2 linked regions of the Oryzias latipes genome follow. The protein of the gene in region 2 purifies or fractionates together with the protein of the main gene of each other region. This does not show direct contact. Links are inferred from orthologs where the notes say so. Each region holds a gene or a part of one and is shown on either strand. Other genes may lie near its edges. The genes, in order: tmem186 and heatr3.

Region 1 (3,351 bases), on a different chromosome or scaffold from region 2:
TTATAAAACTGATGTTATGTAATTTACCAAGCCCCGGCAGCTACGCACTAACCTAGATAACCGGCGACTGTTGATGATGTCATCAAGCATCAATAGTTTATCCAAAACTCTGGGCTTGAAGGGATAAATGTAGGGGTAGGGAGAAACCGGAGGGGTAACGAATTAATTCGGATTCAACCCAATGACTGGATTTCTTTTTCTTCTCTGAGAGCTGAGGTTTCCTCTGAAGAGTGATCCTTCCAAGATATCTATTTCTAGGATTTTTTTTAATCGTTGAGAACATTTCTTTTAGGATTTCTACAACTCATTTAGCTCAGAAAACCAATTATTGATCCTGAAACTGGACTCCGTGTGTCCAATCAGGAAAAATCTGCTACAAATGGCGGACAGATGTCTAAGGCTGAATCCGGATTCTTCCCTCATCCCTGCGGCTTCTCCCTACCCCTTCATTTAGCCCTCCAAACGGAGGGATATGGGAAAATATTGTCTCCTGATTCGGGCATCACTCCCACTCGACGACATAATCCATAGTCCCCGTCAGCGCTCGGAAAATTCCTAACATCAGTTTTATAACGTTAAAGAGTGACGCTAAAACAAAAAGTCCTTAACTTCAGTCCTTCAGAGCAAACCCAAGTGAAGAAATGCATTTCTCCTCTACAGGATCACCCTTTTGAAGGGTTTGCCCCCTTAAACTATTTCAGACCCTCCAAATGCCCCAACAATTGGAGGAATAGGGAGAAGCCGGAGGGGTAGAGGAGGAATTCGGATTCGGCCTTAGTTAGCATTGAACATGTGAAGGTAACAGTCAGGACTGTAATATGTTTACATTTTTATTAACTTCCAGCACAACAGTTTCCCCCCCCCCAAGAAAAGTTCAAAGAATTTATGTTAAACTTCCAAATACTTTCTCAAAGCCCTGTCTATCCACCACCTTTCCAAAATACACAGAGAAATACAACGTCTCGGGGCCGCTGTACCTCTGAAGCCGGAGGATGGTCTCATTCGCTGAATCTCCAGTATCTCCAATGGTCATAACATCGGAAACAGGAATGTACATATCACTGCGCTTTCCCCAGAAAGTAAGGTGGGAAACTTTCAGCACGGTTTGAGATGGATCAAGGTACATCATTCCTACAACCCTCCTGAAGAAATGGCTTAGCGTGTACAGCATGACGCCAGCAAACGCAGCGATTCCAGTGGAGTAGCTGACCAAAAAGAAGGAGACGGCTCCCTGGAAATACAGGACAAACACTGGAGGCAGGATGACAGCAGTGATGGCGGTCTGGAGGAGTTTAAGTCTGGACACCGCCCTGAGGAACTTAATGTGTGGCAGGGTGTAAATCATTGAATATTTGGGGGTGGGCGAGTCGTAGTGTCGGATCAAAGTGGGAACTTTAGCTGGAACGGGTCCAGGGTGGCTCTGAACTGATGAGGAGTGTGGAGAAGGAGGAGACTCCAAGGTGTAAGCAATCCGTCCTGAGAGCAAACAGGATCCTCTGGTACATGACAGAAGGCGGGACGTCAGCCTCCGCAGCAACAGCGACTCCATCTGAGAAAAAACTTCACTTAGAAAAACATCCTTCGAAGTATGCTGAGAGACGGAAAAGCAGTTAAGGTTAGTTTCTTCCAATATCTCATAAAGTGATTTAAAGTTACTGGTATGATATTGGTCTGGTTTAGTTCAACCAGACTCTAACATACATGTTCAATGAAATCTGGGATGGATAAACTACAACATTTGCAATACAGTCAACTAAAACAGTTGTAATTCCTCCTAAATTTGCTAAATGGTATTGTAAGTCAAATGTCTTATTCCTGGTTTTGAACTCGTCTCTGGTATCTGGAAAAGGTAACCTGCTGAGACTAGAGACAGTTCATTCTGAACAGTTGTCGAACCTCCAGAACTGTTTAGTATATAAATAAAATATAAATAAAGACGAAACATCTTAATTGACGAATGAAGTTTTGTTGCTACAAGCAAAACGTGAGGAAAAAGACTCACCAGGACAGGAGACAAGGACATAAAATAAGATAAAATACAGCAACACGAGAACAGGAAGTGATCTGTTAGCCGACCAGTGACCCGGAAGTCCTTTCTTAGTCTTTTATTTTATTACTTCAATTTATTTCAAAGTCACATTTTGTTTGGTTGGCTGGCCCACGTAAGGCGTTTTAAAGTGCTGATAGTATTTATAGCCATATTTTATTGAAAAAAAATGTTTTATATTTATTGTGGTAAATTGTTTTTATTGGTTAAAAACTACAGGCTTTTATTTTGTCGTGACTTGACGGAGCACATCCGGCCCGACGGGAGAATCGATCAGCTTCAGCCGTTAACGGCTGTGTTCAAAGACGCCGAATGTGCCGGTTTCGTTACACGTTCGATGCCGTCACAAGTCAGCGGGGCGGAGCTTGTGCCATGGCGAATATCTGTGCCTAGACAGGTTAGAAAGTCTGAGTGACGCGCGGGCGGTGCTTCCGCTTCCTCCAGCTGTTTCCAGACAGGAGAGGAGCCGCGATGCTTCCGCTGGGGGACGAGGTCGCCCTCCACTCGTTGGTCTTCGTGCTGGTCTTACTGGGGACCCGAAGTCCGCTGTGGTCTGCCGTCCTCACCACTTCCTTGTACTGTTTTCTAGCCATGTTTCGTTTCCCGCAAGTGGCGCGCAGCCGAGCCCGTCTCGTGCTGCAGCCGGTGGGTTGCGGGGCGGAGAGCGCGCGGGTGTCCGTGATCGCTCACCGGGGCGGCGCGCACGACGCGCCGGAGAACACCATCGCTGCCATCAGAGAGGTGAGACGAATGTCTTTACAGGTGTTCACGGTGTCCTGTGTCACGTGGAGACGCACGTCAGTCAGTGTCACATTATTGTGAAAGCTCTGGTGAAAACGGCGTTTCTGGTGTTTTTAACTTGATCTCTTGGCTTTTTTATGGTGATGAAGGACAAATATGAAGAAAGTTGAGAATATAACTGCTTTCCTGAGTTCTTTTTTATTCAAATCGTTGTGGATCAGGAGCAGACGAAAAAATGCTGTTGGAAAAAGATCGTATTTGTGACGTAGACAGGGGGCGGCGCCCATCGGTAGCTTTGAGTTGCTAAAGCAACTGCAAGATTTGGCAAAGCAACCCCAAATATGTAGGAGCCCCACCGTTTGAAAGAGCTTACGTTATCGGACATGTCCTGACTAGAGCTGTCCAAATCTACCATTCCAACATCCAGGGCCCTAGAAATTTCCCAGAAGTCTCTGCTAAAAAACAGTGTGCATGATGCTCACTAGATCAGCGAATATAGACCACAATGCATTGCGTTGGACCAATTATTACCAAAAACATGTATTTTTTTAATGAATCAATGT
Region 2 (4,404 bases):
TGGGGTAGAGCAGATTTTGTCTTGTCCAAATGTTCGCCGTTTGATTCTGGGGTGAGATATAAAGTTTTTATTCAAATGTGTTTAGGGTTAAAAGGACTCAGCCCACTGAGAAAGATGGCGAAAGAACAGCTGTGAAAACCGCAACTTTTCAGTTTTAGTCTGTGATAATTACAAGAAATGAGAACAATCATGAATAGAGAGATTAAATTTGATCATATGTTTCTGTTTCTTCGGTTTCAAGGTTAAATGTCACCAGATCTAAACTCACAAAAAAAATATTTTCATAAAAAAGAAGAAAAATTAGGAATAGTTTGTGGGTTTTAGGTACCTGCTGAAACAGCCAATTCCACATTACGTGGGTGCCTCTCCAGACACTGAGCAACAAGATCCAGGAGACCTGATTTGTTGAAAACAGACAGCGCCTGGCTGCTGTTTTCACTGGAAAAGAAAAGGACAACTTGAGGTAAAAATAGCAGAAGCTGCAAAGTTTTACAAACTTTGTTAAAGACCCACTCCATTGAAAATTGTGTTTTAACATGTTCTTGTGGCACTTTTCCTGAAAATGGAAGGACATATGTTGGATTTCTGAGTATTTCTTTACTCACATTGTTTGTCAAAAACATTTTTTGGAAAAATTGCTTATTTGTGGCGTCGCAAATATACTGGGCGGGCCACAAGCTTGCTCCAAGCTCTCGACAATGATTTTGGCGAAAAATGGCATAATTATAGTTAAAAGACCACTGGGAACACTTTTACAACAGATCAATAGATGACCGAGTGGGTCTTTATTGAAAAGCACTGGTAGGAAAGGGTGTCATCGAAAGCAGCACAACTTCCTGGTTTACCATAGGTTCCACAGCAGGTTCACCGCCTCGTTGGCAACATCCTCCACAGCATTTTTCTGTTCCTTCATCGTCACCACGGTGCTGTCAAAACCTGCGCAACACTGGACGCAAAACAAACCTGCTTAAAAAAACAAACAACACTTTGTTTTTAACACAAATCCAACACTGACCACAGCTTCTAATGCAGACTTCCCTACAACAAAAGCTAGACTTTAACGGCTCCAGTTCTTGACGAGCTCTTCTTTTTTACGAGACGGTTTTGCTTGCGCTGTTGAACGACACTCAACTGCGGCGGCCACTACAGCCTCCCGTGACAGCCCTTAATGAGGAGTGTGTGGAGGGAAGCCGACAGCTCTCACCTCTGTCAGCAGCGCTGTCACAGGAGTCATGATGTCTTCCTTCACCATGTCCTCGCACACTTCCTGATTTCCACATGCACTCAGATTCCTGTAAAACACAACCGAGACACATTTGAAAAGTGCTACTTTCACTGCATGACCTTTTATTAAAGCATGGCGGCCCCCGCTGAAGCGTCAGATAAGTTCAAATGCCATTAAATATTAGTCATACTAAGCAGCATTATGTGCTGCATTAGGACATGAAGAGTTCCATTTAACCACCAGTTAACTCCCAGTATATGCAAACTCTAACATCACTCCAGTTTGTGTTGTGGCTTATTAAGGGGTGAAGCCAATGAAATATGAGTGGACAGAAATATGAGGATCCTCTAACAGAAGAAGTCACAGGTCTGTGAGAGCCAGAAATCCTGTGTGTTTGTAGGTGACCAAATACTTATTTTCCACCGTAATTTACAAATAAATTCTTTAAAAATCAGACAATGTGATTTTCTGGATTTTTCTCTCTCATTTTGTCTCTCACAGTTGAGGTTTACCTGTGATGAAAGTTACAGCCCTCTATCATCTTTTTCGGTGGGAAAACTTGCACAATTGGTGGCTGACTGAATACCTTTTTGCCCCTCTGCATATATCAACAGTTAAATTCAAAGTCCCTTTAGTTGTCATGCACTGGCATTGGTCCCACTTTTAGATAGAGTCTGAGGTATGACTCGGCCGTGGATTTGAAGTCATAACCTTCCAGCCTCAGGATGGACACTACCTACCACAAGGCCCCTGGGCTGGTAACAGCTCTGGTATCTTTTGGAGCAAGTATTTTCAAATACAGCTCACGTCAGAGCATTTTGTGCCACATTTTAATATAAAAATAATAAAATAATAATAACTATAAACCTGGATTAATGGTGAATGTCTGTTAGAATAGAGTGTGAGCATTAGAATGAGGAATGTTCTCCAACAATTACACAAAGACAAATGGGATAGGCTCCAGCAACCGTTTGAGCCTCATCAGGACGTGATCATAAAGGACATTTGGGCGCCTTCTATTCTCAAAATATAAAGCATAATCATTGTTAAAAGTGATTTACAGTTGATACTAACTGTATTTTCTTATTAAAAAGATTTTAAACTGAATGACAGTGTTGTTTACAGGTTTATTTATGCCTCCACTCCAGGTAAAGATTTGATTGTTTTACCTGAGCGCCCCGGCGGCAGTCTCCCTGACAGCCAAGCTGTTGTCCAGCAGCAAGGGGCCCAGGCGCCGGACAGCATGTCTCTGGAGAAAACCGGGGATGGTCTGGCTCTGTTGGACCACCCGAGAAATGCTGGCGCACGCAAACTCACGCGTGTCTGCGTTCGGGCTTTGCAGCTGAGGAAACACACTCTGTGACTGTCGGAACGAAGTCTACAGTAACTCTCCACGACAACACGTGGATTTACCATTTACGTGACCATAAACATCTATTTTGAAAAGGACACTTCAAAATGGGAACAACTGGAACCCAAACGAAAAATGCATAACACCTTTTCCAGTAGCTCCGCGGCTGGAGAGCAATCTTCACCGTGGTCTTCCTCCTCTTCGTCAACTTCTTTCACGGCTTTCACCGGCAGCCCGACGGCGTTGAACTGCGGCCGTTTAAACTTCGTGGTTTTACTTTTACCCATGACGATCAATGACTACCTATACATAAAACACGATTTTAAGTTCGCCTTGGTTCACTCTTACTGACGATTTTAGCTCAAACTCCGATCATGCCGAGTTGGAAGCCATGTGGACGAGTCTGCCGTAAAGCGATCCTTGCCGATAGAAGACACTGTCGTAAACACCACAACTGTTGTGGCGACAAAAAAAACAAAACCAGTTTCGCACCAAACCAAAGTCCCAAATATTGCATAAACAAACACACAAAAATTCACACATTGTGCATTTATTAAGCAAATAAGTTTTAAAATACAAATACTCAGATAAAACACATAACAGAAATCTGAATAAACACATCTGCACTCACACTGAATGACTAAAATACAGTTGAAGATTTTGTGAGCATGTCAGCAGCTTCAATTCCACACTGAAACACAATTTTTAAAAACTCCAGTTCAGTCTTTGCTTTGTGTTGACAAATTCCACCTCAGCGCTGCCCGGAAAAGTTGAAAGATTCAGAGTTTGTGATCATACTTTAAGTCATTGTATGTAGTTACTGGATGCTGGGTCGTGGTTTGAGAATGAGTTTTCCAGTCTGTACATAAAGTAAACAAAAAAACACAATCAATAATGTACCAAACAATGGGTTTTAATAGGAATGCAGTTTAAATAAAAAAAGATGAACTCACATCATCACAGGACATGTTGTATTCTGCTAAAACCGTGCGACAGCGAGCAGCGATTCTTAAAAGGGCAAAGGTCAAAGATAACAATTGAAAATGGGTTTGTTAAAGAAATCTAAAGAACTTTGTATATTTTTATGGCTCCTACAGGTTTCTGTAAGTTAAATCTGAGACTTTTAAGGACATTTTTAAACATGTATTTAATATCCACTTCACAGCCTATTTTCAGGCCATATTGGCAAAAGGGAAAGAGCCCAAAAAAAGAGCCAGAAGGATGTTTTTTTTTTTCATGTCAAACCAGGTCATTATAAAGCTGAACTTTCCCATAATACTCATAAACCACCAATTCTGTTTGCAATCTCAAAGTTTGCAATAATTGGTTCCTACTTTGAACAGAAATTGTATAAAAGAACCGTTAAAGAAAAAGCCTGGAGCAAGATTCACGAGATTTCAGATCTCAGCTTTGACATTTCACACCAAGCCTCTTCTAACTGTGAGTACATGCAATAAGTACGGGGTAGCGACAGTCCAGTGTGAACACAGCATACTATAAGCGTGTTCAACGAACCTGCGTTCAACGGCCCACATGCCCAGTGTGTACATAGCATAAAGGTATTTTATCTAGTAAGACCCTGTTCTTCAGGGGTCGCAAACTGGTAGCCCCCTAAGATGATGTATAAGTTTATGATATATTAGTTTTGTCTGAATGACATTTCTACAGTGTTGTGTGCAAAGCTGACGAGCCAAACTATCACAGTGGGGTATATGGCTCTTGGGGGCGTGGCATTGACCGCGCCTGATGGTTGCACGCAGGGAAACATTTAAAGCAGGAAACCTGACACCCACCTCTATTTAACATGGGACCACATGGAAGTTACGTT

What was found.
Region 1: the proteins of heatr3 (region 2) and tmem186 purify together in Homo sapiens (co-immunoprecipitation; 3 studies listed by BioGRID and IntAct, counting the BioPlex papers as one, with this or other methods). This does not show direct contact. The link is inferred for Oryzias latipes from reciprocal best matches to the Homo sapiens genes HEATR3 and TMEM186.

What each region holds. Positions count from the first base shown.
Region 1 is NC_019859.2:36,188,094-36,191,444, reverse strand, and holds tmem186 (transmembrane protein 186), read right to left. Parts: upstream 2,163-3,351; 5' UTR 2,024-2,162; coding exon 2,003-2,023; intron 1,550-2,002; coding exon 884-1,549; 3' UTR 815-883; downstream 1-814. Other genes in the region: gde1 (glycerophosphodiester phosphodiesterase 1), read left to right, coding at 2,519-2,788. UniProt on the Homo sapiens protein: As part of the MCIA complex, required for efficient assembly of the mitochondrial complex I.
Region 2 is NC_019861.2:30,454,868-30,459,271, forward strand, and holds the start of heatr3 (HEAT repeat-containing protein 3), read right to left. Parts: upstream 3,004-4,404; 5' UTR 2,864-3,003; coding exon 2,723-2,863; intron 2,568-2,722; coding exon 2,395-2,567; intron 1,293-2,394; coding exon 1,205-1,292; intron 947-1,204; coding exon 846-946; intron 439-845; coding exon 329-438; intron 1-328. Other genes in the region: cnep1r1 (nuclear envelope phosphatase-regulatory subunit 1), read right to left, coding at 3,394-3,435, 3,530-3,584. UniProt on the Homo sapiens protein: Plays a role in ribosome biogenesis and in nuclear import of the 60S ribosomal protein L5/large ribosomal subunit protein uL18 (RPL5). Required for proper erythrocyte maturation.